Callithrix jacchus: one gene and its partners. The protein of the gene in region 3 purifies or fractionates together with the protein of the main gene of each other region. This does not show direct contact. Links are inferred from orthologs where the notes say so. Each region holds a gene or a part of one and is shown on either strand. Other genes may lie near its edges.

Region 1 (4,084 bases), on a different chromosome or scaffold from region 3:
AGGTGAATAAAATGGAAGGGGTTGGCAGGTAGGTGTTAAGAGAAGAGGCAACTCCCTTCTCAGCCCAACCCACATCACTCTGTCCCCCACTCCTCCCACCTCTGTCCAGAGGCCCCTTCACTGGCCCAGATGGGCTCTCAAACTCCTATGTTGCCTTTCTTCCAGTTAGGCAGACAACAAACCATCAGAGCCATTCACTGTTTGTTCCTTGAGGAAGAGCCAATCTATAACAACTCTCTGTTCAAGGTCTGTCTCCCTCCCTGAAAACGATCCCTTCAGGATGACCCCCAATCAGGATTAAATTCCAAGGCCCAAGTTCTGGGGTTCTTCCCCTCTTCTCAGCTAGCTTCCTTAGCTGGGCTGAAACATGACTTCTTGCTGCAGGAACCTGTTTCTCTTACTGCTCAGAAAGAGGCAAGTGGGAGCAGAGTGGCCTCACCATCTGGGCAATGCCACGGTTGGTAAGGATGTAGCGGGCGTGGATCAATCCATAAAGCATCTCGGCTGCCTGCTCAATCAAGTCACTCTGGTTGGGGTTGTCTTCCAGTTCTTCATCTGAAACACAGCCCAGCCAAATGCAACCACTTGTTTTTCAGCTTTCCTAGGTGCCCTGCCCATACCCAGGGGCTGCTAGCTATTCAGTTTGCCTAGCACCTACTTTTGAGCCTTACCCTATCCAACACCTGGGCATGTGACCCAGAAACCTGGGCTTCTGACGCTTTCACCAGCCCAAGGCAGAGCTCTGCCTTCTCTTCACACCTCGTCAGCCTCTGCCCTCTCCTCTCCTCTCCTCTCCCTCCCAACTCCCTCCTCAATACATAAATGCGACAATATCAATGCAGAAGATCAAACTCCGGACTAGAAGGTCCAAGGTAGGAGAAACAGACAGCAAATGAGACCCATGAGGAAACCCATTTTGGAATAGATCCGAACTGTGGATTTAAAAAGTATGGGAAACAAGTGATAATGCGTCACAAAACTAGACAAGAGTCAGGTGGAGGATCAAAATAAAGCATGAATTTGGGGTTAAGAAAATCAGAGAACCAAAGGAAATTTCAAAATTCAAGCAAGTGAATAGGGATCTGAAGAGAAAAAAAAGTACACGCACACACACAAACAACCCTGAGGGTGCCTCACCAGGCTCCAGGTCCAAGATCATATCTAGAGCTTGTCGATAGTGAGGGACCTGCTCATTGAGTCCAGTAAGATTAAATTTGTCCTGGATGTAGTCTTCATCCACCTGTCAGGATATGGAAGCCAAGAGGGAACCCATGTCAAAATCTCCATCTTTAACGTGAGCAAAATGCTCTAACTGATGCCTTGTTATCAACCTAACTGCTCTGTTCCCCCTTGTTTCTCACTTGAAACTCAGCAGAAGTACTCGCGTCTCTTCTCTGTTCACCTATACTCCCTCCCATAAAAGCTTTGGCTTTTGTTTTCTAAGGATAAGCAGGTACAGCAGTCTTTTTCTTAGAGAGACATTCTTTTCAAGATCTCTATCCTTATTCCTGTCTCCCATCGCTAGGAACCATTTTGTCCTCTCAGCTGGCTAAGGAAGGTGGAAGCTGAACAGCCTGGTTTCTGAACAAAAGATTTGGATACGTAGCATTTCAATTCTCCTAACGGCCACCTGAGACAGGTACTAGCAGTGCCACTTTAGTAATAAAAGACACACGCTGGGTGCACTGGCTCATGCCTGTAATCACAGCCCTTTGGGAGGCCAAGGCGGGCAGATTACCTAAAGTCTGGAGTTCGAGATCAGCCTGGGCAACCTAGTGAAACCCTGTCTCTACTAAAAATACAAAATTAGCTGGGCGTGGTGGCAGCCACTTGTAATCCCAGCTACTTGGGAGGCTGGAGCAGGAGAATCACTTGAACCTGGAAGGCAGAGGTTGCATTGAGGTGAGATCACACCACTACACTCCAGCCTGGGTGACAGAGCAAGACTCGGTCTCAAAAAGAAAAAAAGAGAAAGTCACAAATTGCCTAGTCCAACGTTATATTGCTGGAGGATGGCAGAGTTGGGACAGGCCCCAATTTTGCCACTTTAGCACAGATTTGCCGGGGGTTACTGAGGGGACTCTTCATTGATGGGAAGTTTTCAAGTAGCATATAAGAGAACGATGAGGAAGTGGAATATGTGGAGAAACGTCTAGTGGGAATCTATGTGGAGCTGGCAAGGAGGGGGGTTGAAGAGAACTCACTTCACAGAAGAATTCATTGCCACGGAGCCCACAGAACCAGGAAATCCAGGACACCTCCTCTGAGCTGCTCATCTTCACGTCAGCTGGAAAACGAAGAATGTCAGTAAAGCTCAAGTTCTCCCTCCTTGCCTCTGGTATCCTCCCTCCTCCCACATTCGGCCCTCCAACCACGGGAGACTTTAGAATTTGGAGCCGTCCTTTTTTAAAGGATCCCAAACTCTGAAACACTCCTCTCCAGCTCCTCTAATTTACGTCTCAGCTCCTTTTCTTTGAGGTTAAACACACTTTGGGGTCCCACCACTTGAGAGAACCCAACAGATACTTTGACCCACCAGCCTGACCCACATCCCTGGAGCTCCCGAAGGCCAGGGCCCTCTCTACTTTGTGTCACCTCCAGCACGGACCTCGGCTCAGGCTCCCTACCACTGCAGCTCTCTGCATGACCCCGGCGCCTTTCCCAAGCGTTTCGAAGTTTATCATTCTCTAGCAAGAGCCGGGCCCCTCCTCTTCTTATGGGCTGGAGCGACCGTCAAGTCCCTTTCACTGGAGTCCACACATCTTGCCTCCGCTCCTCAGGCCACCTCTCCCTCCTTTGTGCCGGACCTGGTCGCTTCCTCCCCCGCCCCCACATCAAAGTACGGAGACCCCATGTGCTGCTCCCAACAAGAGACTCTGAGTAGCGACGACCTCAGACTCACCGCCTGGACGGGGACCAGGACTGGGGTGGGGTAGGGAAGTCGCTAGTTCCAAAGAACGGCGGCGACCGCTACAGCGCAGGCCGCGGACCCGACCGCGGCAAGAGAAGTGGGGTGGGGGGGAGTGGAAATTGGGGAGGGTGGGGAAGAGGGCAACACGCAAGCGCCAAGGGTCAGGTGCTGCGATGGATGCCGGGACACGGAGTCCCAGGTAGAAAGAGAAACTGGTGAAATGAAGGAAAAGCGAACTACCAATCCCAGGAAGACCCGCGGACGACCTGGCTGTCACGAAGCCCCGGAGGAGGACGCTTGCGGGCGGGGCACAGCGAGAAGCCACCGGAAGCGGAAGCCAGGTATGACGTTTGGGGCCAGGGAGCCTGGGAAATATAGTTGTGTGCTCACTGGGAGAAAAGCCGAGATGGGGCGGGGAGAGGAGGGAGACACGCAGTTCCCGTCTAGTTCCGGCGCAGCGGGGCGCTGCTGCCCAGGGGACTGGCCCATCCCCGGCCAATCCGCTGGGTCCTTATTGATTGTTGAGCCCCTAGTGAGAGTCAGTCCCGCCGGACACCCTTGACTGGCCTCCTGTTACCCTCCCGGCTCTGGCCTCATGAGGCGAGAGGTGCAGTTTGGCTCCGTGCGTAGGGACTTGGGTTGGGTGGGCTGGGCTGAGCTGAGCTGAGCGTTGTGAGAACCAGAACGGCCCAGTGCGGTAACCTGAGGTGGGGCCAGCCATTTCGCTCGTCCCCTTGCACTTCTCCTTTTACGCTCTAAGTGTGACCTTAGAACCCTGGTCAGAGTAATGGTGAGGGGCAGGCGTGACGTTATTTCATTTCACGGCTTCTCGGCATTCCACAAGTTTCCCTCCGCCTCCTGAGGGCCTTTCCTAACACGGAGAGTGGATTCCCAGGTCCAGAAAATGGACTTGGAGCGAGGGGGCGGGGAGGGGGGCGGTTCACGTTGAGGAAGGCGAAGGGCATTGTGGGGGCGTATAGGTAAAAGTAGAACCCTAACCGACAGATCCTGGTGCTCGCGCCAGCGGGGCGCGCAGAGCTTTGCGCGTTTGCTATTGGAAAGGTTCCAGCGCGGGAAACTGAACTGGGAGCTTTGCGCACGCCTGAGCCCTCAAGTAATGTGGGTTGTGGTTTTTGTTGTTGTTGTCGTCGCCACGCATGCGTCTTCGTGCCG
Region 2 (3,939 bases), on a different chromosome or scaffold from region 3:
AATGTGTAAGATTTAACACTAAAAGGGGCGAGGGTTGCATCTATAAGGTTTATATGCATATATATGAAGAGAAGAAGAAATTCGAATTTAAAACTGTATCCTCTGGCTGGGAACAGTGGCTCATGCCTATAATTCCAGCACTTTGGGAGGCCCAGGCTGGCAGATCACCTTAGGTCGGGAGTTCGAGACCAGCCTGGCCAATATGACAAAACCCCATCTCTACTAAAAATACAAAAATTAGCTGGGTGTAGTGGTGAGAGCCTGTAGTCCCAGCTACTCAGGAGGCTGAGGCAGGAGAATCGTTTGTACCTGGGAGGTGGAGGTTGCAGTGAACTGAGATCTTGCCACTGCACTCACCTGGGGGACAGAGTGAGACTCCTTCTCAAAAAGAAAAGTTATGAAGCCGGGAGCAGTGGTTCATGCCTGTAATCCCAGCACTTTGGGAGGCTGAGGCTGTTGGATTACCTGAGGTCAGGAGTTCGAGACCAGTCTGACTGACATGGTGAAACCCCATCTCTACTAAAAATAAAAAAAAATTAGCTGGGCATGGTGGCACACGCCTGTAGTCCCAGCTACTCGGGAGGCTGAGGTCAGAGAATTGCTTGAACCCCGGAGGCAGAGGTTGCAGTGAGCGGAGATAAGACCAATACACTCCAGCCTAGGCGACAGAGCGAGACTCCGTCTCATTGAAAAAAAAAAATTGTGCACTCTATTGTATATCACAGCCCAATAAAATAGTAAAGAGGTCGAAGCTGTCTAAGCGGGCGCTGCGGTGGAGTAGCGGTCAAGACCGCCTGCGAGCGGTTCACCTGATTCACCCCCAAAACCGGCTTCCAGCCGCGTTCCCGACCCCAAAGCACCCCTTCCGCGCGGCTTGCGGTTGGGGCGCCTGTAGGGGACACCCGAGCCTTCGTAGGGGGATGTTGCAAGCCCGCGCAAGGGCCCCCGGCTCCCAGGCACTCGCCACCTTCCGACACCCTGGGGAAGGCCCTGCACGTCCCGACCCTTCCCTCCCAGCAGCCCGCCGAGCCACTACACTCGACAGCGGCAGCGCTGACGTCACCGCCCCGCCTCCCCGCCTCGCGCGGCTGTTCCCGCCCCGCCCCCTTTCCCGACGTGCGCCGCGGCTAAAGCTCCTCGCCCTCCGCTTCTGCCTGTCGCCCCAAGATGGCGGACACAATGAGCCGGCTACGCGCTAGTTGCCCCTGAGGTGGCTGTGAGGACCAAAGATCGGCGAGGCTCCACAGTCCAGGCAGAAGACTGTTGTCCAAGCAGGAGGAAGGGGAGGAGGCGGCCCAACTGTCGGCCGACTTCCCGCTAGCCGCCGGCGCGGCGCCGGCCCCGCCTGGTTGGCCCCTCGGCAGCCCGCCCGCTCGCCGCCGGGCCCCGCCCCGGCCCTGCGCCGCCGCTGCCTTCCCCTGCCGCCGCCATGAAGCTGACCGACAGCGTGCTGCGGAGCTTCCGCGTCGCTAAGGTGTTCCGCGAAAACTCGGACAAGATTAACTGCTTCGATTTCAGCCCCAACGGCGAGACGGTCATCTCGAGCAGCGACGACGACTCCATCGTGCTCTATGACTGCCAGGAGGGCAAGTGAGTGAGGCGGAGGCCCTGGGCCCGGGTCTCAGTCCCTCCCTCCCTCCCTCCGGTGGCCCAGCACTGGTCCCTCTGCCCGCCCTCCGTCTCGACTTCAGTCCCCGGTCTATTTTGCACGCGTTCCTGCCAGGGCCACCTTCACCCCGCAGCCGTCCAGGAGACCTTTTATTTTTTCTTCTGAAAAAAAAAAAAAAAATTGTGATAGTCATAATAATGGCATTATTATTTGTATGTCTAAGGTCTCCTTAAAGCGCTATGCATCGCTTGCCAAGCCCCACCTTGACCTTGACCTTTAAACGCCCGGTCTGCCCACCCCGGGCCCAGCAGGTAGCGTTTTCAGCTCCTCAGGTTCTCTAAGGTGCTGGTCGTCTCCGTCCTCGTCGCAGGACTGCAGGGGCGGCTCTCCTGACTCCTTCGGCAGCTCTCTCTTCTGCCCTCTCCGCTGTGACCTCGATTCCTCCCTGGCACTCCGCCCATCCCCTGCCCCTCAGCTTCTTGCGACCTTTCTGCCGTCAGGCCGCGTGGGTTGCAGTTCTTAGCTGTCAGGATTTATTTGTTGTGCCTCTTTGAGCCCCCTTGCATTTTCTTCCTGTTCCTAGGCTCTCTCTTACTCCGTCAGAATCGGTGCCCACGTTCTTAAGTGAACTTCTCAGCAGCATCTAAAACTTCCTTTTTGCCACATACAAACAAACTTGGTCGTCCCATCCTGACCTGAATGTGAGCTTCCGTTAAAACAAAGCAAGCATCGTAGAACATTTTTGGGTTTCCTTTCATCCTTTTTTAAAAATTATTATTAAATATGTTGGTCCACTTTGAATTCCAATTCTGACCATGACATTTCTATGTTGCCGCAAGTCATCTGGAGACCCACCACACCTGCATCTTTTCACAAAACCTAAGCACGGCACTTTGCCTTTTTCCCTGGGGGGTCCCTGGCAGCCCCCTCACCGCACGCCTGTGGACTTGCAGCTCCTTGGAGCCAAAACTAGCTTAGATTAAATTCGTTTTACCCTCAGCCCCCTTCCCCATGAAGGCTTGCTGATGTTTGGTTTAAATCGGTGGCCCCTGGTTTTGTCAGACTTGATTTTGTTACTTAGTAACACATCTTGTTTTTTTGAGATCTTGGGTTTTTTTCTACCTTCTCCAGCTGTTTCTTTTGCTTTTTTTTTTTTTCCCCCCCTGGTGTCTTTTGGAACGTGTCTTTTCATTTGTGAATTTGATTATCTGAGGTAACACTAGTTTGGACTGAGCTATAGTGGTATCCCCCCCCCACCCCCAGTTTTTTCCCACTGGGGCTGTGAAAAAGTGTTATGTAACTGGCTCTGGATCTGCTTGCAGTATGTGGCAGGGTGGTCTTGAGGAGGGAATTGTTAGCTGGGCAAATAGTTTGAGTCAGTGTTACTCATTTAGTAGATAGATTTCTGTCCTGGTCTGGTCACTTGAATCAGTTTAGAAGAGGAAGTAACATTTAAAGGTATGGTAGTAGCTGGAGTTGTGGAGTCCTGGAGTAGTAATTTGAAGCTGGCTTGCATGAAACGTTTAGTGCTTATGCACAGATTAGGACCTCTTCCCAGAATATGAGGATGGAGATCATATATCCTCATTTAAAGAAAATGAAGGTTGTGATAGCATTTCTTTGCAGTTTGTCCCCAAATTTGGCATAATTTCTCTTTGGGAAGTATAACCTTGACATGAGTCTGGTCTGGTTTTTTTTTGAGACAGTCTCCCTCTGTCGCCCAGGCTGGAGTGCAGTGGCATGATCTTGGCTTACTGAAACTATCGCCTACTGGATTCAAGCGATTCTCCTGCCTCAGCCTCCTGAATAGCTGGGATTACAGGTGTCCGCCACCATGGCCTGCTAATTTTTGTGTTTTTAGTAGAGATGGGTTTCACCTCATTGGCCAGGCTGGTCTTGAACTCCTGACCTCAGGTGATCCACCCTCCTCAGCCTTCCAAAGTGCTGGGATTACAGGCATGAGCCACTGTACCTGGCCAAGTCCTGTCTTGTTAAGAGTAAAATGCCAATTTTGTGACATCAGGCAGTTTATTCACTCATGTAGCATTTTTATGTAATTACAAACATAGAAATTTGCAAGTGTTTCAGAGAACTGCCATATGATTCAATAACTGGTTACATTTTCTGCATTTGCTTCATTACTGCATGTAAATATTTATATATACTGTGTGCCTCCCCCCAACCCTTTTTTTTTTTTTTTTTTTTTTGAGACGGAGGTTTGCTCTTTTTACCCAGGTTGGAGTGCAATGGCGCAATCTCGGCTCACCACAACCTCCGACTCCTGGGTTCAGGCAATTCTCCTGCCTCCTGAGTAGCTGCGATTACAGGCA
Region 3 (3,500 bases):
AAGTGTTGGGATTACAGGTGTAAGCCACGGCGCCCAGCGGCCAATTTTTTTTTTTTTTTGGAGACAGAGTATCTCACTGTGTTGCCCAGACTGTAGTGCAGTGGTGCAATCTTGGCTCAATGGCAATTTCCGCCTCCTTGGTTCAAGCGATTCTCCTGCCTCAGCCTCCCGAGTACCTGGGACTACAGGCATGTGCCACCATGACCTGCTAATTTTTGTATTTTAGTAGAGATGAGGTTTCACCATGTTGGCCGGGATCGTCTCGATTTCTTAACCGCATGAACTGTCCACGTCGGCCCCCCAAAGTGTTGGGATCACAGGTGTGAGCCACTGCACCCGGCCTGCATTTTTTTTTGAGACAGAGTCTCATTCTGTTGCACAGGCTGGATGGAGTGCAGGAGTGCAATCTCAGCTCACTGCACCCTCTGCCTCCTGAGTAGTTGTGACTACAAGCATGTGCCACCACGCCTGGGTAATTTTTATACTTCTAGTAGTGATGGGGTTTTGCCATGTTGGCTAGGCTGGTCCTGAAAACTTGGCCTCAGGTGATCTGCCAGCCTCAGCCTCCCAAAATGCTGGGATTACAGGTGTGAGCCACTGTGCCCAGCCCATCCAATTTTTTAAATTTTTAGCAGAAACAAGGTCTCAGGTCTCACTACATACCTAGGCTGGTCTCAAACTCTTGAGCTCACGCGATCCTCCCACTTCAGCCTCCCAAAGTGCTGGGGTTACAGGTGATTTGTATATATTTGTATACTGTGGGCTCTCTCTAAATGACGGCTAAGAGATCACAATCCATGCTTGGAAGTACATCAGGCAGTATTCCTTTCATTTGGCCTTTTCCCTGGGGAAACAGCAGCAGCCTGTCCTGGCCTAACACAAGACACGTGCTCACCTTAACTACCTGCAGAAGAGAACACAGTCCCCATGTCCTCCTTAGAATGGCCCAACTCCAATAAACTCAGCTGGGCACTACAGAGGCTGGACAGGCAGGCTACAGCACTGAGGCCTGGGTGCACATGTCCCAGTTCCTGTGAGCCCTGGGACCCCCGGACCTTACCTTATCCAAGAGCTCCCTGGTCTCTTCGGTCAGAGGGTCGTGGGAAAACATGCAGTCGTCACCATTGATGCAGTTCCCCGTGGTGTGGTACAGCTTACACGGGAAATCGCGTTCATGCAAATTAAGGTAAATGCTTCACCTCACAGAACCCTCCCGAAGGCAGAATCCAATTCCCTTTGTTTTGGAGATGAGAAAACTGAACCCAGAGAGGTGAGGGTAGGTGCTCAGGGCTGCTCAGTGGGTTGGCAGCAGACCCATGGAGAGACCCCGGCACTCCAGACTGCAGACCACTTCCTGCCCCATCACACTGGCTGGGGGCTTCGTCCTCAGATTGTCAATCAGACCGAGGAAGTTAAACGACTTGCCCAAGGTATAAAAGCCCCGGAAGAATCTCGGGTGATGGTATGGGCTAGTCTTGGGAGCCTTCAGAAGACAAAACAGGCACCATGTGCATCTCCATTTACTCCCTGGAAGGAGAGGAAAGGCAGAGCCCTCTGAGGGCAGACGTGAGGGTTAGATGAGATGGAGACTCACAGAAAGCTGTTGGCACAGAGAGAGAAAGCACAGCAAAGGAAGGTCAGCTGTTACTACCATCAAGGAACAGAGAAGTTCTGCACCTCGTTCAGGCCAGACGCTGGCACCAAAGGATATCGTGCATATAGGGGCAGTTCTCGGCTCTGGCGCAAAATCCAGTGATGTAAAACTTGCACAGTTCTCGCTTCTTTGGGAGTTCAATGTCATGGCTAAAATTACAGTGGTCTCCCTAGAAGAGAAGCAATGAAAACGTAAGGCGGTGATGTGGGGAGCTCTCGCTTACTTCTATCTGCACTGCGAAGAAATGCTGTCACTGCTGGTGCATGGAGCGGCCAGGGAAAGAAACAAATTCCCCCTGGGAAAGGAAGACAGGTCTAGGAAGCACAGGTGCCAGAGGCTGTTGCCCACAGGGTCTCACTCTGTTGCCCGGGCTGGAGCACAGCGGCACAATCACGGCTCACTGCAGCCTCGCCACATGGGCTCAGGTGATCCTCCCACAGCTAGGACTACAGGCCCACACCACCAAGCCAGCTAGTATGTTTTGAAATTTTTTGTTCAGACAGCATCTCACTATGCTGCCCAAGGTGGTCTGAAACTCCTGGGTTCAAGTGATCTTCCCACCCTGGCCTCCCAAAGTGCTGGGATTATAGGCATGAGCCACCAAGACTGGTCACTTCCTGAATTTAAAGAAAATCCTTTTGCCCATTTCTCTTCCTCCTAGCACCTGGATGTGATGCCATGAGGCACAGCAGCCATCATGTAACCATGAGGACAAAAGCCACATTTTTTTTTTTTTTGAGATGAAGTTTTACTCTCATTGCCCAGGCTGGAATGGAATGGTGTGATCTTGGCTCACTGTAACCTCCGCCTCCTGGGTTCAAGCGATTCTCCTGCCTCAGTCTCCCGAGTAAGTGGGACTACAGGCATGAGCCACCACACCCAGCTAATTCTGTATTTTTAGTAGTGACAGGGTTTCTCCATGTTAGTCAGGCTAGTCTCGAACTCCTGACCTCAAGTGATCTGCAAGCCTCAGCCTCCCAAAGTACTGGGATTACAGGTTTGAGCCACCATGCCCAGCCAAAAGCCACAGGTTTAAAGATGGCAGAATAGCAAGCAGGAAGGAACCTAGATCCCCAGGGTGCCCCTGACCACTGCACTGTCAGGTACAGCCCACCCAGCTCTGGAGTCCTGGTTCTGAGAAACAAATATCTATATGTTGAAGCCAATAGAGTTAAGGTTTCCTTTATTTCCAGCTGAACACAATCAACAACACAACACGTGGGTGAAATCCAGAATTGTGTTTTCCACCCCTCATCATTTGGTCCTCAGGAATCACTCACCAGCACTGTGAACTGAAGACAGAGCTGATCCATCCCCCTAACTCTTAGAAATGCCTATTCTCTCTCTCTCTTTTTTTTTTGAGACAGTTTTGCTCTGGTCACCCAGGCTGGAATACAATGGCATGATTGTGGCTCACTGCAACCTCTGCTTCCCAGGTTCAAGTGATTCTCCTGCCTCAGCTTCCCAAGTAGCTGAGATTACAGGCGCCCGCCAGCAAACCCAGCTAATTTTTGTATTTTTAGTAGAGATGAGGTTTCACAATGTTGGCCAGAATGGTCTCGAACTCCTTACTTCAGGTGATCCACCCGTCTTGGCCTCCCAAAGTGCAGGGATTACAAGCGTGAGCCACTGCGCCCAGCCTTTCTTTTTTCTCACACAGGTTCTCACTCTGCCACCCAGGCTGAAGTGCAGTGGCGCAATCACAGATCATTGCTGCCTTGATCTCCCAGGCTCAAGAGATCCTCCTGCCTCAGACTCCTTAGACGCTGGGACTATAAGCAGACGCCACCAAACTGGGCTTTTTCAATTTTTTTTTAAAAGATGGGGGTCTCATTATGTTGCCCAC

What was found. The genes of interacting proteins can lie anywhere in the genome.
Region 1: the proteins of ZC3H4 (region 3) and CSNK2B purify together in Homo sapiens (affinity purification with mass spectrometry; 3 studies listed by BioGRID and IntAct, with this or other methods). This does not show direct contact. The link is inferred for Callithrix jacchus from reciprocal best matches to the Homo sapiens genes ZC3H4 and CSNK2B.
Region 2: the proteins of ZC3H4 (region 3) and WDR82 purify together in Homo sapiens (affinity purification with western blotting; 4 studies listed by BioGRID and IntAct, with this or other methods). This does not show direct contact. The link is inferred for Callithrix jacchus from reciprocal best matches to the Homo sapiens genes ZC3H4 and WDR82.

Annotation. Positions count from the first base shown.
Region 1 is NC_133505.1:39,169,693-39,173,776, reverse strand, and holds the start of CSNK2B (casein kinase II subunit beta), read right to left. Parts: upstream 2,801-4,084; 5' UTR 2,685-2,800; coding exon 2,609-2,684; intron 2,288-2,608; coding exon 2,205-2,287; intron 1,241-2,204; coding exon 1,138-1,240; intron 556-1,137; coding exon 440-555; intron 1-439. UniProt on the Homo sapiens protein: Regulatory subunit of casein kinase II/CK2.
Region 2 is NC_133516.1:34,802,070-34,806,008, reverse strand, and holds the start of WDR82 (WD repeat-containing protein 82), read left to right. Parts: upstream 1-1,139; 5' UTR 1,140-1,429; coding exon 1,430-1,590; intron 1,591-3,939. UniProt on the Homo sapiens protein: Regulatory component of the SET1/COMPASS complex implicated in the tethering of this complex to transcriptional start sites of active genes.
Region 3 is NC_133523.1:41,043,101-41,046,600, forward strand, and holds part of ZC3H4 (zinc finger CCCH domain-containing protein 4), read right to left. Parts: intron 1,824-3,500; coding exon 1,712-1,823; intron 1,171-1,711; coding exon 1,061-1,170; intron 1-1,060. UniProt on the Homo sapiens protein: RNA-binding protein that suppresses transcription of long non-coding RNAs (lncRNAs). LncRNAs are defined as transcripts more than 200 nucleotides that are not translated into protein.